Linked DNA regions of Notamacropus eugenii. The protein of the gene in region 3 interacts with the protein of the main gene of each other region in a pairwise test. Links are inferred from orthologs where the notes say so. Each region holds a gene or a part of one and is shown on either strand. Other genes may lie near its edges. The genes, in order: KIAA1958, PDE4DIP, LMO4 and GRHL2.

Region 1 (6,850 bases), on a different chromosome or scaffold from region 3:
TTTTAAAAATGAGGAAAACCAGGTCTAACTAAAGAGGACTAAGTGATCTGCCTAAGGTCCATAGGTATTCAGAGGTAGAGAGGTTTGAATTCTGATCTTCTGACTCTACACCAGTATTATTTTCCTTTTGCAGTTAAAGAGAGAAAATTTCCTTTTTTAAAAAAATATTATTTGTGTTTATTATTCTTTAGTTGTTGACTGATATCCAACTATGTGATCCCATGGACTCTATCCATGGGGCTTTTTTTGGCAAGGATACTGGAGTGGTATGCAATTTCCTTTATTTATGACATCTCAATGAAATAAAAAGTCAAAGATAAAATTTATCAACAAAACTTCTCTAAGTCTAGTTTGCATATGATTAATTATAAAAAATGTATAAATAAAAATAAGTTCTAATGAATAAATAACTAGAAATATTCATCACCAAGTCCTGCATAATCTTATCTTCAATGATTGTAGGAATGAAATATAATAATAGAATATTAGAGCTAATTTTAGTCATGAGATTTTTGGAAACAATCCCCTTATTTTACATAACAGAAAATTAAAACCCAGAGAAATATATAACTTGACCAAGACAATACAGCTAGATACTGACATGAAAGAAACTAGGACTTGGAACTCTAGACCCTTCAATTTACATTCAACAATATTTCTCAGAACTAGGTTGAACATGAACCCATAAGCATCCCCCTAAGAGCCATTAGATCCCTTCTCCTCTGCTGTCACAGAGAAATTTGTTTTTGTCTCTTTTAGTTACTTGTGTACTTGTCATAGACCTCCACTAGATTATAAGCTCCATGAGAGCAGGGATTTAAAAAAATTCATCTTTATGTATCTTTCCCTAGCCCACCACAGTATTCGGCACATAGTAGACTCTTTAAAAAATGATTGTTGAATTGACTCAAATAAATTCAATAAGTTTAGGCTTGTAAAAGTTCAGAGCTAAACCATCCCTCAGGATTCCAATCCATAAAGGACACCCACAGAGGATTTAAGTAATCAATAAGCACATCATGAAGTCTGTTTAAATTTTGGTTAGAAAATACAATATTCATATAAATTAATTTAAAACTATTATTGGTCAAACAAATGGAACTCTTCTCCCCCAAAGTAACAAATGTGAAGTAACAGACATTTAAGCTGGCTGTCTATTACAGTCTCATGCTATCTGCTATTACAGTGAACCAAAAGGAACCTTGGCAAAAGAAAATCCATAAAATATTGAAAAGACTTTAGTATTTGGTACAACTTGACCGCTTGCATTAAAATAATGAAAAGTGTCCCTACAGTTTCATCGTATTTGTTCTGTGAGGTACCATTAACTTTTCTGGGTTGTTCTTTTTTCCTAATTGAAAAGAACTAGTTAAAATAACAAAAATGATCTAAACTTCCCGAGAACATCAACAATGGTTGTTTCTTTCTGTCATAAATGTTGCCCTAGTACTGAAAATTCATCTTCCTTATGTCTGAGAGGGAAGTGCTTAATTGCCGGATTAGTGGTTGGATATCTTCTCCCTAACAGAACTCCAAACCTGTGACAAAAATTTCTAACATTCAGTATTTGTGTAAGTTTCCATTCATAAAAATAATTGGGGATGTTTTCATGATAAACCTGCTACAGTGCTTAATCAATGTTTGTTGAGAAAAAGAGAATGGGATTTGGCATCAGAGAACACTGGCTAATGTCCAGTCTTGGCAAGTTTAATGAGGCAAGGGCCTCAGTTCCCTCATGTGTAAAATGAGGATGTGGAACTTTAAGGTTCCACCCAATTCTAAACCTATTATCCTATTTGACTGTAATGGAAAACCAGGTAAGATAAAGGGTTTTAATTCTTCCAAGAGTCTAATTTCAGGTCCTTTTGCCTGGATACCTTAACTAATGTTTTAGGCCACTAACAATCAGAATCTCTTTGATATTCATAAAACTATTCCCTTTTTATCATATTGTAATGAAACAAAAAAGACAAATTTAATTTATGAAACTAAAAAGTCTCTCTTCCCTGGACTTACTTGTGGCTGAAGCTATACTACTAATAGGCAACTGGGTGGCACAGTAGATTCAGTTCAAATCTGAACTCAGATACTAACTAGTTATATGACCCTGAGAAAATCATTTAACCTTTATTTGTCTTACTTTTCTTATCTGGAGAATGGGGGTAATAATAGCATTGAGCTCTCAGCAAGGTTATTGTAGGGATCAAATAAGATAATACATATAAAGAGTTGTACACAACTTAAATTGCTACATAAAATGATAGTTGTCATTATTGCTGGTGCTATCAGCTTCCTGGTCCTCCCTTTCAAGTCAATCAAAATGAATTTTTTCAAAGTTTAGGGGAGAATAGTTTCCCTGGGGCTCAAGGCCTGCCTCCAATTTGGGAGAGGTTATAATTTTATAGCTCTCAGTCACTGGGACAATCCCACCTAATTGCTTAAGAGATTCTTCATACTTAAAAAGACTTAAAATTCAACTGTGGCATTTCACTGGCTGAACAAATGAAGACTGGTCCTTCAGGTAGAAGAAAGCCTTCCCAGGTGTCAGAAAGAAAGGAGAAATATCAAGATTTTTAGTTATAAAAGCTGAACCTCATGTGGCTAAGAGGAGCTCTCTCGAAGGCAGGGAGCAGTAGGGTCCTGCCCTGCACCAGAAGCTGATGGCACAATGAAATAGGTGGAGCAGGCATAAAGAATAATTGTTGCTATTGTTCAGTCATTCAGTCATGTCCAACTATCTATGTGACCCCATGGTCTCTATCCATGGGTTTGGTTTTTTTTTGGCAAGGACACTGGAGTGCTTTGCCATTTCCTTCTCCCATTTTATGTAGGCAAGGGTTAAGTGATTTGCCCAGGGTCACACAGTGTCTGAGGTCACATTTGAGCTCTGGCCTTTCTGACCACAGGTCAAGGGCTCTTTTTTTTTTTTTTAAATTAATTTATTTAACTTTTAACATTCATTTTCACAAAATTTTGGGTTCCACATTTTCTCCCCTTTTGTCCCCTCCCCCCACCCCAAAACACCAAGCGTTCTAATTGCCCCTGTCTGCCAATCTGCCCTCCCTCCCTCCCCACCCCTTCCCTTTGGAAGGCAAGCAATTCAATATAGGCCAGATCTGTGTAGTTTTGCAAATGACTTCCATAATAGTAGTGTTGTGTAAGAACTAATTATATTTCCCTCCATCCTATCCTGTCCCCCATTACTTCTGTTCTCTCTTTTGATCCTGACCCTCCCCATGAGTGTTGACCTCCAATTGCTCCCTCCTCCCCGTGCCCTCCCTTCCATCATCCCCCCCACCCTGCTTATCCCCTTACTTTTTTGTAGATGTTCTATGGGTTGTGGGTTCGGAGCTATGTGTATGTGAGTCTTTCTACTCCGCCATCTTGGCTCCGCCCCCAGGCCAAGGGCTCTTATCCACTGTGCCACCTATGTGCCCCACATCATTAGCTTTTTCTTTCTTTCTTTCTTCCTTTCTTTCTTCCTTTCTTTCTTTCTTTCTTTCTTTCTTTCTTTCTTTCTTTCTTTCTTTCTTTCTTTCTCTCTCTCTCTCTCTCTCTCTCTCTCTCTCTCTCTCTCTCTCTCTTCCTTCCTTCCTTCCTCCCTCCCTTCCCCCCCCCCCCTCTCTTCCATCCTCTTTTTTGGAGGCAATTACAGTTAAGAGTCTTGCCCTGGGTCACACAGGATATAAATTATTTCTGTTGGGGTTTTTTTTAGTCCCTCTTTTGAAAGGAAGTCTCAGGCATTTAGTAATATTTTATTGTTTGTCTACTAGATGAATTCAAAGTAACATTGGCTCATTTTGCCAGTCCCCAATTTTCTCAAGAATGTGATCAAAGCTTATCTTTGTTCTCCATTTAACCCTCAGCTAAGTACTTGTATCTTCAATCAAGGAAATTGTCCTAGAAACTCATTTGTTTTCATTTAGAATGTTGGGGTTTTTATGGATGTTGGGATTAAGTCAGTTACTCGAGAAGACATTCAGGTTTATTCCTGAAATTTAGTCAACGATCATATATATTCAGCCTCTCATATGACACAAAGAGCCCAGGGAACAACTGGAGGAACTTTTCACTACTTTGGCATATGGTTCATGAGCATAAAACTTGAGAAAATTATTGCCTGACACTATCCATTTTTCTTGAAAAAAGACTTCATAATTTAAGAAGGAAAACTTTATTGGAAACAATGCAATGGAGTGAATAAGCCCCTTAAATCTGGAGAGAGAGGACCCAACTTCAATTTCTTTTTCTTTGTCACTTGCTACCTATATGTACCTTACCTTTAGGCAAACCACTTCCCCTACAGGGACCTAACACTCTTCACCTGTTCAATAGGAGTGTTAGACTATGTGATCTGCACTGCTGTCAATTTCTTATTGTTCCTTCTAGGTTGAGTTCTTCAGTGCTTTTGAGCTTCCATTACAAATTGGTTACCACTATTTGGTAAGCTGGTAGTGCAGTGGATAGAGCACCAGGCCTGGAGTCAAGAGGACCTGAGTTCAAATCCAGCCTCAGAAACTTAATATCTGTGTGACCTTGGGCAAGTCATTTAACCTCTAATTGCCTCAGTTACTTATCTGTAAAATGGGGACATACTGGAGAAGAAAATGGTTCCACAGGGTCACAAAAAGAGAGACAGTCATGACTGAACAAGAAAATAACAAAAAATTGCTAATAGTATCTAGAATTCATATAGAGCTTTAAAGTTTGCAAAGCACTTTATATATGCTATCTTATTTGATCCTCAGTTTTCTTATCTACAAAATAGGAATAGTAATAATAGCACTTATGTCCTGGTGTTATTGTAAGGATAAAATACTTGTTATAATATTTGTGAAGTGTGGTCTAGGAGGGATAAAATCAAGATGGTGCAGTAGGAGAGACTAGCTAGTGTTCTCCCCCCAAACCCAGCCAAATACTTCTAAAAAATGACTCTAAACAAATTCTGGAGATGCAGAAAACAGAGAATGATGGAGTGAACCAAATATCCACCTCAAGACAGCCTGGAAGATCAATGGGAAGCATCTATCACATTGTGCTGGGAGCTGAGCACAGTGCAGTGTTGGCCACATTGGCAGAGACAGGACCTGAGCAGACTAAGAAGGGGACTGAATTTTTGGCACCTGTGGTGGCTTTCAGACTTCACAACCCCGAAACACTGAGGATAAATTGGAAGGTCAGTGGAAAAAAATCTGTATGACCTGTGTGAGAGAGTAGAGTGGTCTGGCCCCAGCCCCAGGGTGGCAGAGGGGGTTGAGGAGACTGTGGCAGCCACAGCTGCAGCCATAGCAGTAGTAGCAGAAACAGCAGCGGCTGTTTCTGGAGCTCTATGCCCACTGGGACGATGGAGCAGCTGAAAGTACACTCCCCACCCACACTGGAAACAGAAAACTACCTTGACAAAGAGCTTAAAAGTCAAGTAATTGGCTGGGGAAATGAGCAAAAACAGGAAAAAAATCAGACTGAAGAATCTTACTTTAGTGACAAGAAAAACCAAAATATACAAACAGAAGAAGACAACAAAGTCAAAGTTTCTACATCAAAGGCCTCCAAGAAAACTATGAATTGGTCTCAGGCCATGGAAGAGCTCACAAAGGATTTTGAAAATCAAGTATAGAGTAAAAATTGGAAAAAGAAATAATAGTGATAGAAGAAAATCATGAAAAACGAGTCAACTGCTTACTAAAGGGGACCCAAAAAAATGCTGAAGAAAATAATATCTTAAAAAATAAACTAACCCAAATGGCAAAAGAGATCTAAAAAGCCTTAAAAAGAAGAATTGGCAGATGGAAAAGGAATTCCCAAAGTTCACTGAAGAAAATAATTTCTTAAATATGAGAATGGAGCAGATGGAAGCTCTTATTAGCTTATGAGTTTATGAAAAATCAAGAAATTATAAAATAAAACCAAAAGAATGAAAAAAATAGCAGACAATGTGAAATATCTCATTGGAAAAACAACTGACCTGGAAAACAGATCCAAGAGAGACAATTTAAAAATTATTGGACTACTTGAAAATGATGATCAAAAAAAAAGAACCTAGACATCATCTTTCAAGAAATTATTGAGGAAAACTGCCCTGATATTCTAGAAGCAGAGAGTAAAATAGATATTGAAAGAACCCACCAATCACCTCCTGAAAGAGATCCCAAAAAGAAAACTCCTAGGAATACTGAAGCCAAATGCCAGAGCTCCCAGGTCAAGGAGAAAATTGCAAGCAGCCAGAAAGAAATAGTTTGAGTGTTGTGGAAATACAATCAGGATAACACAAACTCTAGCAGCTTCTACATTGAGAAATCAGAGGGCTTGGAATATGATATTCCAGAGGTCAAAGGAGCTTGGATTAAAACCAAGAATCACCTACCCAGCAAAACTGAGTATAATACTTCAGGGGAAAAAACAATCACTCAGTGAAACAGAAGACTTTCAAGCATTCTTGATGAAAAGACCAGAGCTGGATAGAATATTTCACTTTCAAACACAAGAATCAAGGGAAGCATGAAACATAAACAGGAAAGAGAAGTCATAAGGGACTTACTACAGTTGAACTGTTTACGTTCCTGCACGGAAAGATAATATTTGCAACTCTTAAGACTTTTCTCAGTATTAGGGTAGTTGGAGGGATTATATATATATATATAGACAGAGGGCACAGGGTGAGTTGAATATGAAGGGATGATATCTGAAAAAAATAAAATTAAGGGATGAGAGAGGAATATATTGGGAGAAGGAGAAAGGGAGAAATAGAATTAAAGAGGCAAGAAAAAGCTTTTTTAAATGAAGGGGAAGAGAAGGAGGTGAGAGGGGAAGAGTGAACCTCTCACTGGATTTGGCTTAAGGAGGGAATAAC
Region 2 (7,056 bases), about 200 Mb from region 3:
GTCAGGGCAGATCAAGGCATACTCCCTACTAGACAGATCAACAGCTGCATTTCTGAAGAATCTTGTTCAACATGTCCTGACTTAAAACTCTTACTAGAGGGGGCCCAGAAAATGTAATCAAAGGAGACTGTGAGACTTCTTAATTTTATGTTGGGTATTTCACAGGATTTCAGAGCTGGGAAAAAGGATCCTCCTTCCAACACACCTCATACTGACAGCCTTTGATTGAATTGCTTTGATTTGGTGACAGGACCATGATATGTATAATTAAATAAGATATCATAATTGGAAGGAAGGGAGGGAGGAAAAAGGCATTTATTTAGCATTTACTGTTTATCTGGGATATGTGAGAGACCAAGGATACAAAAGCAAGCAAAAAGAAAGACAGTCCCAGTGCTTAAGGACCTTACTTTCGGACTTGGGAAGGTAACACCCAAAAGGGAGCTGGAAAGCTGGGGGAGGGGAGAAGACATTGAGGAGAAGGTCTCCTCTCCCTTCACCTTCATTCTGAAACTTGGAAGTCAGGAGTGGAACCAGGAGGAGAATAAAGACTGCAAAGTTGGGGGCTGAACCAGGAAGGGAACAAAGTTTGGCCAGGCGTTATACCCCCTTCTACAAAATGGAGGCCAAAGGAGGAATTCCCCTGTGGGGGAGGAGGGTGGACCTAGCAGAGGGATAGACTTGAGGAGGCTCAGACTTGAGGGAAGTTCCAGAATGAGGCAGGGGCAGAGGTTTGGAAGTCCAGAAGCGAGGGACAGGGCTGGTATCTCAAGACCCCAGAGCTCTTCAACTCTCCAAACCTAACCCCTCCCCCCAAATGGAACTGCTAGCAGTTTGTTTGTGTTTTCTTTAGCTGAATATCAGGATACCCGGGTTTGAATATTTGCATACCAGATTGAGGCGCTAAAGAAACAGATGGTGCAATTTATTATGATTGCATTCAAACCCTACTTTGGAATCTTAGAACTCTATTTTGGGGCCGAAAATTTCAAACAGCAGAGTTATAAAAGTATCTGTTCTCTGTTGGGAGGCAAGGCATTTGTACTGGGTGCCACATGGGACACTGAACATGTTCTCAGAGATGGCTGGTGTAACTGGGAACCTACTTACCTGGGGATTTCTCTTTTGTTTTAGTGTATTGGTTTCCCAAACTTTTTTGGCCTACTGCCCCCTTCTCAAAAAAAATTACTCAGAACCCCTATGGAAATCTATTTTCTTTAACCTTTTAATTAAAAAAAAATTGTGTCATTTAAAAAAAGATGCATCTTAAATTTAATAATTTACTGTATACTTGTGGTTTTTTTCTGCATTGGAATTTTGATGATGCAATATTATGTCATGTAACTGTATAGTATCGTATTATAAACATGCACATATTCCTGTGGATGCATGCTGGACTTCTTGACAACAAGCCTACACCCCTACCAATACTTACTTGTTAAGACCTGCCCTCCAACTTGACCACTGATGAGTTATAACTTGCATTTTGTGTGTTTATTTGGAAAAATAATGTAATCACTACGACTGATACACAACAGATGAAATGTGTACCAATATTTTTGTTCAAAATTATCTTCTTTCCTTATACTTCTACTGCCTCTTACTTTTATTCAATACCCACCACCTGCACCTGAGGCTACTACTGCCCCCCCCCCCCCCCCCATCATTCTAGCACCCCCTGGGGGGGTGTTCCTACTTTGGAACTTATATAGGGTTGGAAAGAGCAGTGAACTGAAGACTAGGCCTCTAGTCCTTGCTCTACCCCTTTACTCACTGGGTGACTTTAGACAACACGCTTAATTCCTGGGATTATCCTCTGTAAAATAGGGATCATAATAATTACACTCCCTTTTTTTATTGACCTATAAAACAATGTATGCAGTTATTAGACTGGACATGAGCTGCACCAAACTAAGTTCAGTGCCTTGCTCATAAAAGGTACTTAAAAAAAAACCTGTTTAATGAATTGAACCAATATATGGGGATCGAGCCAAATATCAGTCTTGAGCATAGGATCAGACCACTAGAGGAAACCATCTAGACCAATCCCCATATTTTGCAGCAAAGGAAGCTGAGGGCCAGAAAGTTTAAATACAGTCAGTAAATGTCAGAGGTGGGACTTTGAATGTGGAATCTCTATCTCAGGAGTTCTTAACTTTGTGTGTGTGTGTGTGTGTGTGCCCATGTGTGTATGATGGACTTCTTTGGCAGTCTAGTAAAAGCCTATGAACCACTTCTCAGAATAATGTTTTTAAATGCACAAAATAAAGCACATAGGATTACAAAGAAAACAAAGTATCGTGGAAAGATTAATTTTTTTTCATCCAAGTTCATGAAACCCCTGAAATCTTGTAGTTCATGGAACAACCCCCAGATATTAACACCTATTCTATCTCCAAAGTCAATTACTACATTCACAATTAAAAAGTTGCAGCTGGGACCTCAAGAGTCCTCTTATCTATCACCTTCATCTTAGAGACTGAATCTTGGAGAACTGAGTCAGGGAGACCTGAGTTCAAATCCTGCCTCTAATACTTAACTATATGTATGACCCTGGACAAATCACTTAACCCTATTTGCCTCAGTTTCCTCATCTGTAAAATTATCTGGAGAAGGAGATGGCAAACCTTTTCAATATCCTTGCCAAGAGAGCTGGACATGACTGAAAAACAACAGAACAAAAATGAGTATCATAATAGAACCTACCTCACAGGGTTGTTATAAAGATCAAATGAGATAATATCTGTAAAGTACCTAGTACAATGCCTGGCACATAGTAGGGGCTTAATAAATGTTTCTTTCCCCCTGAAGTCATTATTAACAGGGTGAAGATTCAAATCCAAGTTCTCCACATTTTAGCCAAATCCAGTGTTCTTGCTCTATGTATGCCTCTGGTAAAGGGTCCCTCAATGCTTCTTAAAACTCACTCTCCTCAGCACTGATCCATCTTTCTCAGCCACATCACTTGTGAAATATCCAACCCTAGGCCTTTTTCCTTGGTGCTCCTCGTTGGAACTGAATCAGAGGAGCATATCTTTTTGTCTCCAAAACTTTCATCTTTACCTTTTTTTTTTTTTTAAAAACTTTCTTCCATCACTGAACCCTCAACTCCAGGTATCTTCCGACTTCCCTTGGTTCATAATTCTGTTTAGCTCCCTGAGTTTCTAGATATTGGAAAGAAGTGGGGTGTAGAACAACAACAACAACAAAAATCAGAAGACCTGGTTTCTGGTCCTGCCCTGACTTTTTCTATCTGTATTTTCTTGAAGAAGTCACTTCTGTTTTCTCATAGATAAAAAAAAAAAAATGAGATTGGATTGGATGACCTTTTCCTTCTCTTCCCCTTCTAAATCTATGATCTGCCCCACCTAACTCCAAATGACCATTTCCCTCTTTTACCATAGCCTTGGTCTGGTATTCAACTCCCTCTTCCCTTTCTCACTTCTCTCTGCCACAGACTACTAAGTATAGAGTGGGTTTTCCACGACTTTTTTTTTTAAACAAAAGAAGAGAGAATAAAAACATCCAGGAAAAAAATCCCAGGATAAGGTAATCAAAAATTCATTTAAAACTCCCCATACTGAACGGTGCCTAAGATAATCTTGAACTAAAATTCCCTGGCCCTAGGTCAGACTTAATGACCTTCTCTAGATAATGATTATCTGGCTCCCTTATGGCCCCAAAAGAGAATCTGTTCCCCCCCCCCCCCCACCTGTCCTCTTCTGTTAAAATAGGATTTGTTCACCTGAATGTCCTGAATTGAGCTCGTTGGCCTGTTTGTGACGATCAAAAGCGATAACTTATGCAAACCCGCCTGAACTCTTTAAGGCTATATAAATGGTATTATTATGATTGTTACCCTTCCAGATCCATTCTCACTCAATCCCAATACATTACGGATTGCACAGAAGGTTTCTGGAGTGTTCTGCCTCCTTGTCCAACCTTGCACTTGCAAGGATATTTTCACTCGGGCCGTTGGCTCGTCCCACTAGGTTACGTTATTCTCTATTTCCCATGCCCCAGGAGAAGTCCTCGCCTTCTCTTTTTCCTGGATGGTTTGAACTGAGTTATAGCAGGTGTGGTGGAAGGACATTCCTTCGTCCCAAGACGAGATCTCGAATCCATAGAGAACATTTCAAGACGTGTCCGCTGTCTGAAAGGATGCCCATGCAAGGGCTGAGCAGGGAGGGGGTGCGGGTAGGAGGAGGCGAGGGATGGCGCTGCCAGCTCGCACCGGGGTACGTGGCACTGACTGTCCCCGAGGCTGAAAGGAGGAGGAGAAAAAGAAAGAGGAGGGAGTTCTCTCTCCCCTCCCCTTGTCCTTGCGCAGGAGGAGCAACCAGTAGACGGACAGCTCTGAGAGACTCAAACTGCAGGATCTGGGGACCTTTCTGGGCAGAGACCGAGCTGGCAAGGTTCACCGCTCTCGCCCCCTCCGCTGCTGAAGCCCACCCTGAGGATCGCAGAGACGGGGATGTCCAAAGGCTCTGCGCGCTCAGCCACTTGGAGCCCCAGTCCGGGTGGACTGCAACTCCCAGAAGCCCTTTACAGTTCCCGCGTGCGCAGAAGCCCCTGGCGCCATCTTGAAATCTGATCCTCAATCTCTGAGCTGGAACGTTAGTGGCGGCGGCTGCTTCGGCGGCCCTGAGCTGGGGCAGTGGCTGCGGCAAGAAGAGGAAGAGAGGTCGGAACGCCGTGCCGGTGGCTGGATGGCCGAAACCAGGATGGCGGGTTCAGAAGGAGTCCGGCGCCGGGGTCGCTTGGCATCCCCTTGAGTCTCCCGCCGGCGGACAGCCGGTCCACGAGGGGCGGGGACTCCCCGCGAGTGGTACCCAGAGCGGAGCGCGCGTGCGCGCCCAGGTAGAGGCACAGGTGTGGGGCAGCCGGGAGAGCGGGTGCCCAGGGGCATGGCGTGCCGCGCCACGGAGCCCCCGAGTGAGTGAGCGCTTCCCAGCCCGTCCCACCCGACCTTATCCCTCGCCCGTCCCTTCCCAGCTCATCCCCTCCCGTCCCTGGGAATCCAGGCACAGCCAGGACCGAAGATGAAGGAAATCTGCAGGATCTGTGCCCGGGAGCTGTGCGGCAACCAGCGGCGCTGGATTTTCCACACCACCACCAAGCTCAACCTCCAGGTGCTCCTGTCCCATGTCCTGGGCAAGGATGTCTCCCGCGATGGCAAAGGCGAGTTTGCCTGCAGCAAGTGCGCTTTCATGCTGGACCGCATCTATCGCTTCGACACCGTCATCGCCAGGATCGAAGCCCTCTCCATTGAGCGCCTACAAAAGCTGCTGCTTGAGAAGGAGCGCCTCAAATTCTGCATCGCCAGCATGTACAGGAAGAATAACGATGACCCCAGCACCGAAGCCAAAGTAGGGAATGGGACTGTGGATATGTCCAGTTTACCAGATGTCAGATACACGGCTCTGCTCCAGGAAGACTTTGCATACTCCGGGTTTGAGTGCTGGGCAGAAAATGAGGACCAGACTCAAGAAGCTCACAGCTGCCACACTTCAGAGGGCCCTGGAAACAGGCCCAGGAGGTGTAGGGGCTGTGCTGCTTTAAGGGTTGCTGATTCTGACTATGAAGCCATTTGTAAGGTACCCCGAAAGGTAGCCAGAAGCATCTCCTATGGGGCTTCTACCAGGTGGTCTACCAGTATATGTACTGAAGAGCCAGCCTTGTCAGAGGTTGGGCCACCAGACCTATCAAGCACAAAGGGACCAGCAGATGGGGAAAGCATGGAAGAAGGAACTCCTGGTTCCTCCGTGGAATCTTTGGATGCTACCGTACAGGCCAGCCTTCCACAACAGAGGGATGAGGAACCTGAGAGAGGCAGTAAAGAACTCCCAAAGTGTGATTGCTGCTCAGATGATCAAGCGATCCAATACACATGTGGCCACAAGCTGGAACTAGCGCTTAACATGATTAAAGGTTTTGACTATAAACCCATCCAGAGCCCCCGAGGGAGCAAGCTTCCTATACCAGTGAAATCCAGTCCACCTGGAACCAAGCCTGGCCATCTCATGGCAGATGGGACCAGTCCCAATTTCCTAAACAGGCCTGTGAAATCCCTTTCCAAGACACCTGTGGGTTGTTCCCCAGAGATTTCTGAACTGCAAGAACTGTGGGATGATCTCTATGAGGACTATTTGCCGCTCCGGTTCCAGGTAGATGATATGTAATACTATGACAATTCAGTTTTATCAGATGACGCAACTAGATTGTCTCCAGACTTTCACATGGCTTCTAATTAGTCAAAGTTAACCAGCAAAGTTAACCAGTCAAGTATTCTAACTCTATTCTTCCTTGACTTTCATGCTGCCCATATTTCTCTTGCCACTTTTTGGTGTGTAGGTAAATCCATTTGCAGCTTTGATTCTGCATGCAACATCAGTTGACCCCCCCCCCCCAAAATTTTTTTAAGCAAAAAGATTCAATCAACACTAAATTCTTAGTAAATGTTGTTTCTAAAAAAGGGCAGACAGCCTTTGCTCTAATGCTATCCCTCTCTTGTTTACCTCTTCCTCTTTTAGTTTCACAACTTGATTGATCCTTTTCATTGTCAATGAGAGGGCTAGTTTTTTCTTTCTCACAGACTAGCCTGGAACAGTAATCTTTTTGTGTTCAAGTGCTCCCAAAGTGATTGTAGCAGATGGTAGAGTTTGAGGAAAATCCATTAATTAGTAAAATGCTATCAGAAAAATGTTTTTGTTCAGCTGCTGTACTTATTATAATTAAGGGCATCATTTGGGGGCTCTTCTTCAAGATGGCTTGTTTTATCCCTTGAGTCTTTTTTTTAAAATTGTTTTAAAGGCCTTGGGGATTAAACTAAGATATTACTTAAAGCATTTAGGTGAAAGTCACTCCCAGTCATCAATCCCAGGTGCATTTGTGCTGAGTATATTTTTCACGAAACTGAGGTTTTTACATACTTGTCTTATGGCAAGAAGACCACTTCAACTAGTATTTTGATTTCACTTTAATGACTTGAGAGAGGCAATTGGTCTTAATTCAGCCTAGACACTAGAGAGGTGCCATTTTGTTTCTATAGTAACC
Region 3 (8,018 bases):
AGGAAGGGGCACAAACCAGACCCTCTTTCCAAAGCACTGTTCTCAGGGCTCGGTTCCGAATCCAAGAGGCTCCCTCGGAACTTTGCTGAGCAGCCCACACTGACAACTTCAGCTTGGCGACTGTCAAAGTCTTCTAGCGAGAGAGGCTCTGCAGTGCGATTCCCTCCTTCCCACCCACCCACTCTCAACTCCCCGCCCCCAGCCTCCGCCTATCTCCCCCCACCCCCACCTCGGCACGCATCTAGCCTCTAGCAAATGAGGGTCATTTACCCCAGCCCCAGCAGCGGAGGCAGGAGGACGAGCAGCAGCAGTGGGCCGAGCCCAGGCTTCCCACCCCCCGCAGCCCCCTACCCCTATATCATGCCCAACTCTGGGAAGTGCAGCTGGAGCTCAAGTTGGGAACACTTCAGTTTCCTGAGAGGGAGGGAGAGAGAGAGGGAGCAGAGGGAAATAGAAGGAGTGGGGGTGGGAGGGGAAAGGGGGATGGAGGATGGGAGTGGGGGGAAAGGGAGAGAGAGGGAAACAGTGCAGTGTGTAAAGTTGCGAAACTGGTTTTTCGGATTTTTTAAACAGCACCTTTCACATGCCATTGTGGTGACGGCCATCTCCCATTATTGTTCCAAATCTCATTTCATTCTGAAGATCAATGAGTGTTTTCTCTGGGTTTTCAGGACACCGGCCAGAATAATAGATCATTGAACTTTAGGACGCCTGTTAACTTCCTATACAAACACACTCCACTTTTGTCTCGCTAATCTGCCCTTGATCAGTAATTTAAATGCTAAAGCTTTGTTCCATAAAAAAAAGGGGGGGGGTAGGGAGAGAAGGAGGAGGAGGGAAGAACTTTGGGGATAATCTGAGAACGATCAAGGGATACACTAGTTAAATTCGAGCTAGCCAGGCTGTCACCAAAAACTGCTTTTAAAAAAATTCCCCCACACTTTCTAAATGAATGCCACAAGAGAGGCAGCAACTGGGGGAATAATATAGGAATCAATTTATAAAGCTTAGACTAAACCGATTAATTTGTGGCCTCCGATCCCGAGTCCAATAAACTCCTAGTGTTCCTCCAGTCACTTATACTATAAAAAGATCAAGTTATTTACTGCCAATTAAGCAGCATGTTTTTGTCTTTGTCCTTTGTAAGCCGAGTGTGTGTACTCATACCAAGGCTTTGGGCCATCTCCTAAAGGCATTCAGACTGATACCTCCGAAGAAAGACGGCGAACTTTTTTTTGCCTGCCCCTGGCCCAACTTGGTAGCTGGCAAGAGGGGAGGGCACCAAGCCCCAAGTCCCCGGGTTCCTAAAATAGGCCGATTTTTAAACACATTTCCTCCGAAAGCGTCCCTGAACGTGTCTCTAGTGACCACACAATAAACCAGAAAAAGAACTCCACCAATTAAGCTGTAACAAAACCCCGAGACTTTGGAAACAGGACCACTCTAAAACCCATTAGCATTGCATTTATCCGAATGCATCATACCTTTATGTAAATTGATTTATCTGATGCATTTACTCGAGGAATTGCTTTTTGTTACAATTTCAGCCCTAACCCAAATGAATCTGCATTTCCTGCCCAGAGTCTTAAAAATGTTTCCCTTTACGTTCTAATCGCTTTGAATTCCTTTAAAAGGGGGGCGGGGGGGAGAGGGGGAGAGAAGAGAGAGAGAGACAGAGACAGAGACAGAGACAGAGACAGAGAGACGGGGAGAGATTCCATGCTGCTTATCCTGAATCTTTGCTGTGAAGTAAACATATGTATGTAAATATATGTGTATGTATGTGTGTATATTCTCTATAATGTGTGTATTACATATGTGTATGTACATATATAATTTTTTAAAGGAAACATTACACTGAGCAGAAGCATCCAGTAACCCCATTAGCTAAAGCTCTTAAGGACAAGCAATACCTTAATGCTGATTAAATCTAAAAGAGATGATGAATCAAGGACTGACCAGAAACTGACTCCCCAGATAACTAAGGACGGGCCCTCATCAAGTTTCATTTAGAGTTGGAAAAAAAAAAAGAAAAGCTTTTAAGTTAAATAGGCTTATATTCTAGTAATTACATAGCCGAGCAATTTAGGTCCTGGGATAGAGTCAGTGAAACAGAAAGCAGAACTGGCAGCTAGAGGCAAAATAAGCCCCCCTTTAACAACGTCTCTGGTGTTTTTTAATGGAGACCAAGGGAGGGACAGGCGTAGGGCTGGCAATTTGTAGTACAAAAATGGATGCTTAATTCATGTCTTGATTTTAATTAGGTGATTCACCGGATTTCTCCTGGATTGAAACAAAAGACTTATAAGCCAAAAGGAATTTTTTTCTTTAAAAAAAAAGACACCAATACAAAAACCCTGCCCACTTTGATCCTTTCTGCCACTGTTTCAAAAATAGTGTTTACTGGGGGGCGAAGGGGGGTTGGGGGAGGAGGGAGGCAAGACTATTTTTCCCCACCTCAATTCATAACCGAAACAGGCAAAGCCTTTCACTTCTGGGCTGGAAAGGCGCTCCCCCCCTTCCCCCCCCAAGCCCTCCTCTTCGAACAAACCCTTTTGTAAGCAGGGACCGCTACAAAGCTGACGGCCCTGGTGCTCGCCTGCCTGCCGGCCTGCCGGCCTCCTGCTCGGTCCACCCGCCTGCCAGCCCGCCCCCCAGCCTGCCTTCCTCTAGTTTCAGACTCCCTCATTATCTAAGCCGACGTATTGTTTACTTGCAATTTGGGACGGGGAAGGGAAAGCAGCCAAAGAAAACAACCACGGTACAGGACACCTCCCCCCCTTCCCGGTCTCCGGGCCACCAGCACCACCAACCCCCAGCCCTCCCCCCCACCTCCCGCCCCATCTCCTCTCCCCAGCAAGTCCGCTTACCTGTTTTTCCCCTATATTGCAAAAAGACGGCGGCGGCGGCGGCGAGATCTCCGCGGAGCCGCTCGCTCGGCTTCCCCGGGCTGCTGGACTGATGGAGCTGGATGGATAGATGGATGGGAGGAAGGAGGAGGGAGGGAGGGAGCGAGTTCTTGCAGAAGTGGAGTGGAGGGGGGAGGAGGAGGGGTGGGACAAGGTAATCTTTTTTCTTTCTTTCTTTTTTTTTAATGCGCGGCTCTATTGGTGGGTCGGGTGCCCCCCAGCGAAGTGGCCGCCCGGCCCCGGAGCGGAGGGTTCCGTCTCAGTCCTTCTCTCTCTCCTCCTCCTCCAGCTTCGCCCGAGCAGCTGCAAGGCTGGCTGGCTGGCTGGCTCTCGGGCCCCGCGAGCAGCTCGGCTTCAGGCGCGGCGGCGGCGACTGCTGCAGTCGCTGCTGCAAGTTTGGCAATGTGGCTTCACTTTGTATATTCGGCACCCCCCCCCCCGCCCTCCCGGCCCCCCCTTCCTCCTCCTCCTTCTCCTCCTCCTTCCTTCCCTCCCTCGCTCGCTCTGGTCTGGCGGAGGCGGCGGCGATTGCTGAGATCCAGAAAGCGGCGGCGGCGGCAGCAGCGGAAACAACGAGAGCCCGGGCGGGCGCTGGGCGCTGGGCGGGCGGGCAGGCGGAGTCCCTCCAGGCCACTCAGAGCAGCCTTCCGCAGGAGTGCCAGCACGGGCTGCGGCGCGAGCGGAGCCGGGGCCAAGCCCGACAGCCGGGTCGAGGCCGGGCTGCTGCCGCTGTCCGCGCTGCCGCTGCTGCCGCCGCCGCTGCCCGGCTCCAAGGCGGCGCTGGCCTCTCGCCCGCTCGCGCTCTCCCTCCGCGGCTCTTACACATGTGTTACTGACAGAGCAGAATCCCAACTACTCTCCAGCTCAGCCGCCGACGTCAGCGGCCCTCAGCCACTGCGCGGCCGGATTGTTCAGGCGGAATAATAAAACCTGCCAATCCGGGGGAGGACAAAGGGATGACTGAAACCGGAGGCGGGGGGGAGGGAGGAAAGAGGGAGAGGAGGAAAAGAAGTGGAGGGAACCTGGGGGAAAGGAGAGGGCAGCGGCAGGTGGGGAAGCACGGCGGCGGCAGCCCGCAGGGACCCCCGCTGCTGCCCGCCGCTGCCCCTGCCTCCGCAGGACTCTCCCTTGCGTGTCCGAGCCAGGGACGCTTCCTAGTTCTCAAGGATTTCGGGGACATCCCCAGTCTAGGCCCTGGGAAAACTTTGGCATCTCTCACAGAAGACACTCCCGTACCCCCCTAAATGGGTGAAGGGGGCGTCCTCAAGTTCCAATCCAGCAGTTTTGCTGTTGTCCCAGGAGCAAGGGACGGGTGGGGTTCACACACACACACACACACACACACACACTCACAAAGTTGTTAGCTCTGATGTTTGGGGTTCAGAAACTTAAAGGGAAGTTTTGTTAATGGGGGGAAAACAGCAATCATCTTGCTTTTCCCTGCGAAATTTTCAGAGGGGAGACTTTTTTTTTAATCTCCCTTGACCGAGACATAAACCAACGCACTTAGTAGACTCTCAGGGAACACTCAGTGATGATCCTGGGCTCATAGACAAAGCTGAAGAAATCTGATGGAGGCGTTAACTGGGCATGCCCTCCTTTGTCAGCTTGCTCTGAGGAGAAGAGGAACCCATTTCTCCCAGGCATCCAGAAGCAAAGTTTTGAACAATAAGGCCAGATTAGCAATCATGCATGCTTTGGAGAATAAGGAAGCTCACTTTCAACGTAAATCATATGTTTGGAGGCAATGTTCTCAGCATGTTAGAGCCCAGGAACACCCACAGTCAAAGAACCTGCAAGTGGGTCTCTCTTCCCTCTACCTCCTGCTGTCAGCTTCTAAAGTTTCAACTCAGGATTCAACTTTAAGCTGCAAATGAGGTAATAAAAGTCCTATTTGCTGGGCCAATATTAGGTCTAATTGTTAGTAGAAAGTTATGGAGGGATGGTCCTGGAAAATAGCTGTGCAAGGACAAAGGCCTTTTGGTAGCTGCGGTTTAGTAGATGAGTCTGGGCCTTGGTGTCAGACAACTGGGTCTGACTCCTGAGCCTACAGTTCTTAAGTGATAGTAGACAAGGCCTCTTAACCTCTCTGTATCTCAGTTTCTGATAGGACTAGGTGATGGTAATTTCCCTTTGGACTATAACCTCTTATCATCCTTTTAAGGAAATGGAATGAAATCAGCCCTGTGGGATAAATTTATCTCTTCCATACTCTGTGCTGATGAGAAGACAAGAAGACTGGCCAAAGAACCCAGTTAGAAGGGCTCCCTCTTCACAGGCTGTGATTTTACTGTCTGCAAGTTTTACAGATTTTCAAAATTCAGGCTTTCAAAGAAATAGCAATAATATCTGAATGGTGACTATGCACCCAAAATAGCAGAAAATGGTTTAAAATAAACAACTTCAGTATCCAACATTTCGAGCTAAAGGGGAAGTTATTTGGTTCAACTTTTTCATTTTAGAGATGAGGAGTCTGAGACCCAGAAAAGTGCTCCAAACCATGCACCGTGAAGGTTGGAGTCAGAATTCACACTCAGGTCCTAAGAATCCCCATCTGGCATACTTTGCATTGTAGTATATTGCAAAGTATACAGAATGTTCTGCTAGATATCTAAATTAACATTCTTCAATTAACTTAAAATATCACAATGCTGAAATTTGTCCATCAGTATCAAAACTTGTAATATTCTTAATTCTTTCACTTTGGGTTGGAACTGTACTAAGGAATTCCCTCAGGTTCGCAACCTCTCTGTAATTGACACTCTTACAAGAGGAAGAAGTTAGTCCATCAGTTAACAAACATTTATTAAGAGCTTACTATGTGCCTGGCACTGTGCTAAGTTAAGTGCTCAGAATAGAAAGAAATGCAAATGCTTGGTCCCTGCCCTCAAAAAGTTCACATTGTAATGAGACAAGACAATACATTAAAATCTATATACAGAAATTGGAGGAACTTGGATAGGCTTACATAGCCAGTATGCGTCAGAGGTGGGACAGTGAGGCCAGGTCTTGCCATGGTTCACTCTGCCATGGTTATGACAGATAGGAATGTGATCTTAAAGGATTCAATAGTGTAGAAATATAAGACAGCGCCTTAAAATCTCCAAACCAAAACCTCCACTCAGTCTGTGATTATCTGATTATGAGAAGGCTCAGACAAAACCAAACAGAAGAGAGAATTCTATGCACATCGAAGTAGCAGATCTTAATTTCTTAACTCAATTTTTCCCATGTAAATAATTTACCAGCATAAAAGTGAAATAACACCAGTTCATGATGGGGGGTACAATTAAATTTAGGCCTATAATGAAAAGCACATTTCAGGTATATTTCTCAAGCAAAATGCCCTTCATCGAGGTGAGAATGAAGCTAGTCCTATCCAGGGCTAAGGGCAAGCTAGGCTACTGGCAAGGCCCATGTAGATGTGGATTCTTCTGTGATTCTTCAAGCAAGCTAAAAGAGGCCTCCTGGTTTGCTCCTGGATTAAAGGATGTTCAAACCCTCTGGTCTGAGGAGTAATATCTTCACCGACCATGTGGAGGGAAGTGTTTTTACCAGCGATGTTTGTTTGCTGAGGTTGTGGTTGCATAAATACAAAAGAGATAATGGTTAACGATGTCTCTTCAGAGGCATCTGGAGTAAATCAGTACACGGTAATCAAAATCCAGGTGTACTTTAACCAGAGCGCCACCTCTGGGTAATCTTTATTTCTGCAGGTTTAGCCTTCACATGGACTTTCTGATCTATTCTAGAGGAGCTATAAAGGTTTAGAATCTGAAAGGCCTTTCTGGCTATTTTTCTTAGTGATGCTGCAGAAAAATTAAACACACATACACACAGAAGTGTTGTTCTTTCAAAGCAGGGAAGGTTTATCTATGAGGAAATCTCAAAATTCAAAATGATGGAAAATAATATCTACAACAATAATATCTATAGATCTAATTCATTTATTAAATTAATTATAATCTAAAGAATTACAATTTATTTCAATGATTATAGTATTAATTATGATATAAATTATTATTTTTTATAAGTTATTAAATAATTGAGAGGTAGTCTGGCATAGTAGATAAAATGCTAGATCTACAGTTAGGAAGCCCTGGGTTCCAGTCCTGCCTTACATGTTTATTAAAAATTGGACCATGAGCAAGTAAGTCAGTTAGTCTAAGACTAAGCTATATAGAAGTCATTGGTTCTGGGGAAAGATATCTTGCATGAACAGAACCACACTTATTTGACAGCATAAAAGTAATTATGCATCATCAATGCATGTAAGTCAGGATGATACCTCCTTTTTCATCATTCAGCATAATCAAATACAAATAAAACCAAGGGTCTCTTGCCCTAGGGCATGTGTTATGTATCCCTTTGTGTGATAGACCCCCTTAGCAATCTAATGAAGTCCATGGACTTCTTCTCAGAATGAGGTTTTTAATGCATTTAATACGTAAGCTTACAAGGGAAACTCAGTATATCAAAATAATTATCAAAATATATATTTTTAAAGAGACCAAATTCATGGAGCTTAGGTTAAGAACCCCTGACCTAGAGGTTCATAGGAATAAAACTAGGACTGACCTTAGAAGTTATGTGGTCCAACATCTGCCCCTCCACAATCACACACACACACACACACACACACAGAGGGATGCTAAACTGAATTCTTATCGTTACTAAATTTGATTTTTGTGATGATAGGATCATTAATTTGGAGCTGGAAGAGATCTTAGAGTCCATTAAGTTCCACTATCCCCTTTGACAGACAGGTAAACTAAAGCCTGGAGAAGCTGACTTACCCAAGGTCACATACTAAGTAGGAGAGAGAGGATTTCAACATCTCCAAATCACGTTTCTGCAGCACCAAATTATTTCCATAATAAATTTAGATTATCTTCCACAACCATGCTTTTTTTTAAACCCGGGTTCAAATTCTGCTTCAGTTATATCTGATTGATCTTGGCCAATTCACTTAACTCCTCTGAGTGTGAATTTCCTCGTCTGTAAAATGAAAGGCATGTATCTCTAAGGTCTCTTCAGCTAAAGATCAGATAACCTTATGAGAATGAAAATCAAATTTAGCAGCAACATAACTTGATTTCACTTTCCTGT
Region 4 (7,560 bases), on a different chromosome or scaffold from region 3:
GTTCACTACTAACTGGGAGATCAGTGAAGAGCTATTGAAGGAAGATGGTAGAACTGGAACTGAGCCTTATGTACCGTCTCTGAAACTGTCCCTCTCCCCAACAGTACACAAGCCTACTTTGGAGCATTCTCCATTCAAAAAGAGAGAGAGAGAGCCTACATTATCAAGAAAAGTTATTTTGTTGTTGGATTTGAAAAGTTTTTCTCAATAATTCCAGTTCAGAAACACATGTATAGATAATGTAGTTTATTGTTTTGTCTTCTTGCAATTTTGTCTGCACAATTAATTTTCTCCAGACAGAAAAGAATTAGAAATTATTATAGTACTAAGGTCCTGCAAAGGCTCTGCATACAGTATGTGCTTAATAAAAGTGTGTTGAATTGATTTGAATTCCATTGAAAATTAAAATATTAAAACATACTGCAAAGTCAATCATTAAAGTTCAAAATTTGTTTTGAACAGTAAACAAATTGTCCTTGCTGGGATAGAATGTAACTTGTTTAAATAAACGTCAAAGTGTTTTCATTAAGGAATTTTCTGCCTCACGTTAAATAACAAATAAAACTAAGCTGCTAGGCTAAATGGTCCTTGTACCATACAAATAAAGGAACTACAGCACCATAAAATACTAAAGATGTATACAGTAGAAGTCAAAACCCTGCCTTCCTACCACATGTTGGCAAACATTTTACACACACACACACACACACACACACACACACACACACACACACACCCTTGGCATTTTGATCCTGGACGTGAAGTTTTGAAATCCAGTAAAAACTACATTCATCTGCATGAAACTGGTATTTCCCTAAAGGCTGCTAAGAAAGAACTAGTTTCAAGTCATGCCCATTTCCATACATACACACCAGTCAACACACCCACTATTTACCTGCAGCTGCAATAACTGTCTTTGGTGCCCAACATATTTGTATTGTAAATTTAATAGATATTATCAATATTCAGTCCCTGTGGCTCACGTCGATGAGGACGATTACAACTACAAGACAGTCCTTATGTCCTGAGGTGAGGTCACCATCCCCACAGAAAGTCCGGGCTCAAACTCTCTACTCTCCTTGGAACTTTCCCGGCACTCCCGCCCAACCTCAAGTCCCTCCAGGGTCCCTAAGCGAGAGTGTGGCCCCCGGCAAAATTCTTCCAAAGAAGAGCAAGCAGTTGGCCGCCTCCAGGCGCTGGGCTGCTTGGCCTCTCAATGACACAATCAGGAAGGTCTCAGCTTCGGCCACAACACTGGGGTAAAGTTACCAGCGAAAGCAAAAGCAAAAAAAAAAAAAAAAAAAAAAGAACCCCGACGCATTTCCAATTGGATGAGGATCGTTCGGACTTGGGGACGCAGTGAGGAGGGGAGAGCTGCCATTCAAGCCAATGAAATGTACAAGCACCAACCCCCAGCTCCCTTTCTTTCCAGCTTCCCCCTCCCCCCTCCCATCACAAAGCCTGAAGAGAGGGCGGGGACCAGGCCGGCTTGGGAGAGGCTGCTGCGACCAGCACAGCGCAGAAGTCACAAGAGAGTGTGCTGGATCGTCTAGCGCCCCGGAACCCAATTGAAGGCCCCCGGGACTTCTTAGTAACAGTCTTCGTTAGTTACGGGCTGTCCTGACTCCCACTCGGCCAGCGGCCCCACCCCACCCCTTCCCTCCACCCTCGCAGTGTCACAAGAGCCATTTCATTATTTCTTTTCTACGAAGCAGACGTGCATTTCAACTCCTGACTTTAAGGGATATTTATTGTTCTCCTTGATATAAATACACCTGATTCACTTCCTCCCAGTCTTCCAACTCTCAGATTTCCATTTGTAAAAGCAAGAGGGAATTTCACGAAAAAATAAATAATTAAATAAAGAGAGCAAACACAAGCACCTGATTATTTTAAGGCCTCCTGACCTATAGTCAAAAGCAGGGACCTTAAGTTGAGCAGCAGGTTTCAGTGTTAGGAGTTGGGCCGCAGCGACGTTTGTGGGGGGAGGTTGGGGGGCGGGGGGGCGGGCGGGGATGCTTTACTTTAGTGATTTAGTGTTGACAAGACATCCAGGGGAATAGGGGTCAATGCCACCAGCCACTGCTGAGAAGCAGGTTCTTGTCGGGAATCAATGCCTCTCACTTTTGAAAGGCCCTTTTCCCAGGGCACAAAGCAGACAGGGAAATCATAAAGGGAATTGGGGCGGGGGCAGGAAGAGGGGAGGAGGTGGAGAGAAGGAGATTTAGTGGTGGGGGAGGAGATGGCGCCATCCAGTAGCACCCCCTGGGGGAAGGCTGGGCTCCCCAAACTGCTCGCGGCTTCGGAGCGAGACACGCACGCACTCACGCACGCGGGCTCACGCGCACAATGCACACACGTACACACACACACACACACACACACACACACACACACTCAGGGTGAGGGGAAGATGGCCGTTTGTACTTCAATATAAAAGCTCTTTGTTGCTCTCACACAAAAGCGAAGAACCTTTTTTTGTGGCTGGGCCTGTAGGAAAAATCGAGGAACCTCGGCTGAACTTTCAAAGGGAAAAAGGCTCCCCCAAAACGTTTGAGGGGTGAGGGCGGGGAGGGTTTATCAAGTCAGGGAAAAGACTACTGTCCCACCACTAAAAACCCTGCAAATGTCTAATTATTTTTAAGAGGATGAAAAATATTCATTTTTAGAGGAAAGTAAAAAACTAGTTTCTTGAGCAAGGCCCAAAGGAGTTCTTCAACTTTCCTATTCTTGTGGCTTTTTTTTAATCCTTTTCCCTCATCAGGGAAGAAACACAATCCGAAACGGTCCGGATGCACAAAAGAGGGGGAAAAAATCAAACACAATAACACACAATAAAAGCCCCAAACGACAAACCAGTTGCCATCAGCCCAGAGTAGTAGGAGCGGCGGCGGCGGCGGCGGCGGCGGCAGCAGCAGCGTGTGATCCACTTACTTGTCCGACTCTTGTGACATGTTTGATCCAATGAACTCTCTCCCCTTTTCCTGGTGCCTCAGTCTCTGGCGAAACTGGACTTTCAAGTCTGTGCAGGTGAAGGTGTGTGCGAGCGCCCGAGATGGCAGAACCAGAGGTACAGGTAATTCTGCTTTTCCGTTCCCCCTCAACCACTCTCTCTCGCTTGCTCGCTCCCTCACCTAGCCGGAAAGGTGGGATAAGGAGCGGGCCCCCCTCACATGTGGCAAGAGCTCGGAGGCGGCGGGGTGCTGCTAGCTTCTCCTCGCTGGTGGCAAAGGGGAGGCACAGAGCGGGCGAAAAGTGGAGGACTTGGGCGGCCACAGGTAACTTTCTCGCTAGGAGCCGAATTCTTTCACTAAAGGGTACAAGCCTGAGGGACGAGCTGCGCGCTGATTGGCTGCGGGGAGCCCTCAGGTGAGCTACCATTGGCAGATAGGCGCTCAGGTAAGGCCCCTCTCCAAGAGCAGGTAACTCTCCAAAGTTTACCTGAGCAGTAACAGCAGCAGTAGCCGCAGCCAGGGCGGCAGGGGCAGCCCCGGGCTCTGGAGCAACCTCAGGAAGACCTGATTGGGTCGGGGCGTTTCAAGTCTCCTTCATGCTACATTTCCCTCGTTCCTTAAGGCCTTGGAAGAAAACAGCCAGCACCTGCAGACTCGTGGAATTGTCGGTCAAACTAAAGACAAAGAAAGTTAACAATACTGAATTCGAGTATCCTAGGCTAGCTCTGATCGAACGAGCAAAACAGTTCAAAACACAGTTTAAGGCTACATGAAGAGGGCTGGTTGACAGGGGTGGAAAACAGAAATAAAGTTACTTTATGCTTTCCAAAATAAGAGAAACGAAAACTATATAAAAAAGAATACCAACTTTACGCACAACATTGAAGATCTTGAAGTGCAGAAGAACAAAACGTGTGCAACATTTTACTCTTGGGTTTGGTCTGTTCTCGGGTGGAGTGGAAAAGTTTTGTTAAATAGAAACCATTATGGGCTCCTGGGTGACAAGTACTTTGAAGACTTGGATTCCAGAGCAGCAAACCAGTGCTAGATCTGTGTTCTCCACAGCCCCTCCACAACACCCCAGCACCTTGTTGTCATTTGATGTTTCCCAGGGATGCATCAACATTTACATTGTAATTCAATAGAAGCAGCCACTACAAAGGTGCTTTATCCCTCCAGCTTAGTAAGGTTGCTAGGGTGACAGTTAAGGATAAAACTGCATTTTTCATAACTACATTTCTAGAATCTGGAAGCAACATTGTACAGCAAATAGGTAGTGTACAATTATATGTTGCTAAAGTGTGACACCTAACACTTGAACTTGCTTGATTTGGGAGGCTAGCAGGGAGAACCTAGCCAAAAAACATGGAGGATCTTTAAATAAGTATTAAAAGCACTAGAAAATATACCCTTTTATTTCAGGCTGAAGTCAAAGAGATTGTCTAAGAGATTAAGATTTTGTTTTATCCTTCTGGATCAAATACTCTTTGGAAAATACATCATGGAAATTAAGATTTGACTATTACTATCTGGCTCGCTTCCATCCCATGAAGAAATAAAGATTTACATATAGCTCATTCTGAATATTTTGACTAAATTGTTTATGTCAAACATGGTGATACACCCAAATGGAACTATTTTACAAAGACTTTGTTCAGTAAACTATGATAGATGTTCAAGCTCTCTTTCTCTTTCTGCCCGGATGTTTCTGACCTGCTAATTATTTTGTTAATTTTCAGGAGATATATTGTATTCGTTATCCAATTAATATTGTTTGCAGTTAGTCCTTGAAGATCTGAATAAATGGAGGAAAGCCAGAATGATTTGCTGAAATTGAAAATCCAAAAAGTTAATGTTATCCAATAAATTAAACTTTCTCAGTTACTAAATAATTTGAGAGGTACCAGTAAGTACCAAAATTGAGTTTTTGTTTAGGTTTATGTCCATATCAACAGATAGTCGATAGGTAGAGAATAATAACAAACCATTAACAGATCTGCATAATCCCCAAATTATAACTGGCCTCTAAACAATCAAGAATTTGAGATTACATTCAGTGAGGTTTCGTTTTTGAGAATTTTGCAGTTGTTAAGAGGTGATTCTCAACTTATCCCAAAGAAATGGAGAGGGGAGAAAAGGGGAGGGAGGGGGAAGTAGCTACCTACTCTTAATATGAAACACTTTAAATAAAGCAGATTTGTTGCTTCAAGATGCAACATCTGGTGTTGAAAACGGATGCTGTGGCAGTGCATTTGCAACCATTGATAGGGTCTGATTGAAAAAGTAAAATTTAAGTTTGCTGGCCAGACCATTCTATTCACAACAAATAACTCAATAGCAGCCTAAATTGAAAATATTCCCCTAAGAATCACTAGAGATTGAATGAAGTTTCACTGTCTAAGGAGACAGGTCAACATGACATCATTAAATTGTGTGTAAAGTAGTTATTCTTTGATTAACAAAAGAGAGGCAATACTGTTTTTGTAAAGTATGCTATAAAATAAATTTATAGAAGATAGATTCTATTTTTCTCATCAACTTCAGTCATAAAATCAGATATAGTTTCCATGAAAAAAATATATTGGAAATCACACTTACGACTATAGCAAAGCAGACCTTTGAAGATTAAGAAGAAAAAGTATTTTCTAATAAAACATTCAGAGAAACAACAGTACTCAAAATACTGACAGTCAAATAAATCACAAAACTTAAAAAAAAATAAGAGCAATAGTCTGAAATTCAAAGAGAACTGAGTTCTAATCCCAGTTCTGCTTATTACTTTATTCCATGATCAACTGCAATAAACATGAAATCTTTACATCTTTGAATGAGGGGAGGTAGGATAAAATTGATGAGTTCTTTAAAGTCTCTTCATCTTTCACAGTCTATCAGTCTAGAGCAATGAGTCTAAATATAATGCTTTGTTGTTGTTAAATCCATGAGAGCTGAGGAAATCACTAAGAAATAGTATGGAGAGAAAAGAGGGCTCTTGATAGAATCTTGGAGGACACCCACAGTGACATGAAGAAGATGCAGTAAAAGAAACAAAGATCTTCATCCATGTCATATCCACTGGTAGTATACCCAAAGACTGTATTCTGGGCTCTTTTCTATTTTCTGTACCCCTTCATTGAATAGCTAGGTGACACAATGGATAGAGCACCTCTCCTGGAGTCAGGAAGGTCTGAGTTAAAATCCTGCCTCAGACATTTACCAGTGGTGTGACCCTGGGAAAGTCACTTAACCCAGTTTGCCTCAGTTTCCTCATCTGTAAAATGAGCTGACGAAGGAAATGGCAAACCATTCCAGTACCTTTGCCAAGAAAACTCTATAGGTCACAAAGAATCAGACATGACTGAAAAACAATGCCCTTGTTTGGTGATTTCATCAGTTCCAATGGGTTTGGTTATGATCTCTATGCAAATGACTTTCCAGATTTACGCAAGGAGCTTTAGTTCTTCTGCTGGGTTCCAGGCACACATCACAAACTGCCTATTGGACATTTCCAATCTGAAGTCCCATAGGCATCTCAAGCTCAATGTGTACAAAACAACTCATTATCCTTTCCCTCAAACCTACATCTCTTCCAAATCTTTTCTTGCTAGAGCATTATTATCCTTCCAGTCATCCAGGTACAAAACCTTGGCATCATCCTCAACGGCTCACTCTGACTCAACCTACATAACAAATTAGCTGTCAGATCTTGTTTCTATCTCCACAACATCACTCTCAAATAGATCCCCTTCCTTCCTCAAACTCTCACCATCTTTCATCTAAACTATTTCAAGAGCATCCTACTTGGTCTACCTACCTCAAGTATCTTCTTACTTCATTTGATCCTTCACACAGTTGCCACAGTGATATTTTCAAGAATCAGGTCTGACCATGTCACCCCATTATTCAGACTCCTATTACTCCTTATTGGACTGAACAACATACTCCTTATCACCTCTATGATCAAATAGAATTGTAAATCAAATATAAATGCCTTTCTTTGGCCTTTAAAACTTTACAATCTGGCCCTGTCTGTCCTACTCATCTTATATTTCACTTCCCTCTATGTACTTTATAGTTCAACCATACTGGTCTACTTACTGTACCTCACACACAGTGCCTCATCTTCCATCTCTGGGCTTTTGCACATTTCCTATGCCTGAAATGGTGTCCCTCTTCATTTCTACCTCTTAGAATATATGGCTTCTTTCAAGACCCAACTTAAGCCATGTACTATAGGAAAGCCTCCTAGTTGCTAGTTCTTTCACTTCTAAGATTGCCTCATATCTACTTTGTATGTATCTTATCTATATACATTTTTTTTCAGTTGTGTCTGACTCTTCCCATTTGAGGTTTTCTTGGAAAGACTGGTGGTTACCATTTCCTTCTCTCACTCATTGTACAGATGAGGTAACTGAGACAAACAGGATTAAGTGACTTGCCCATGCTCACACAGTTAGTGTCTCCAGCCAGATTTGAACTCAGAAAGAAAAGTCTTCCTGTCTCCATGCCTAACCCTCTATCCACTAAGCCACCTAGCTATGCCCATGTATGTGTTCTTACTTACATTAGAATGTAAGGCCCCAGTGGGCAGAAATTTTTTTTCTTTCTG

The links.
Region 1: the proteins of LMO4 (region 3) and KIAA1958 interact in binary tests that used the Homo sapiens proteins (3 or more experiments, as listed by UniProt). The two-hybrid records come from large-scale screens. The link is inferred for Notamacropus eugenii from reciprocal best matches to the Homo sapiens genes LMO4 and KIAA1958.
Region 2: the proteins of LMO4 (region 3) and PDE4DIP interact in binary tests that used the Homo sapiens proteins (3 or more experiments, as listed by UniProt). The two-hybrid records come from large-scale screens. The link is inferred for Notamacropus eugenii from reciprocal best matches to the Homo sapiens genes LMO4 and PDE4DIP.
Region 4: the proteins of LMO4 (region 3) and GRHL2 interact in binary tests that used the Homo sapiens proteins (3 or more experiments, as listed by UniProt). The two-hybrid records come from large-scale screens. The link is inferred for Notamacropus eugenii from reciprocal best matches to the Homo sapiens genes LMO4 and GRHL2.

The regions. Positions count from the first base shown.
Region 1 is NC_092874.1:402,317,958-402,324,807, forward strand, and holds the start of KIAA1958 (uncharacterized protein KIAA1958 homolog), read right to left. Parts: upstream 3,001-6,850; 5' UTR 1-3,000.
Region 2 is NC_092873.1:300,438,039-300,445,094, forward strand, and holds the start of PDE4DIP (myomegalin), read left to right. Parts: upstream 1-4,048; 5' UTR 4,049-5,042; coding exon 5,043-6,167; intron 6,168-7,056. UniProt on the Homo sapiens protein: Functions as an anchor sequestering components of the cAMP-dependent pathway to Golgi and/or centrosomes.
Region 3 is NC_092873.1:497,020,481-497,028,498, reverse strand, and holds the start of LMO4 (LIM domain transcription factor LMO4), read right to left. Parts: upstream 3,007-8,018; 5' UTR 2,871-3,006; intron 425-2,870; exon of another isoform or gene 271-424; intron 187-270; exon of another isoform or gene 17-186; intron 1-16. UniProt on the Homo sapiens protein: Transcription cofactor. Plays a role in establishing motor neuron identity, in concert with MNX1, acting, at least in part, to disrupt LDB1-LHX3 complexes thereby negatively modulating interneuron genes in motor neurons.
Region 4 is NC_092875.1:149,734,166-149,741,725, forward strand, and holds the start of GRHL2 (grainyhead-like protein 2 homolog), read right to left. Parts: upstream 3,021-7,560; 5' UTR 2,955-3,020; coding exon 2,935-2,954; exon of another isoform or gene 2,857-2,934; intron 1-2,856. UniProt on the Homo sapiens protein: Transcription factor playing an important role in primary neurulation and in epithelial development. Binds directly to the consensus DNA sequence 5'-AACCGGTT-3' acting as an activator and repressor on distinct target genes.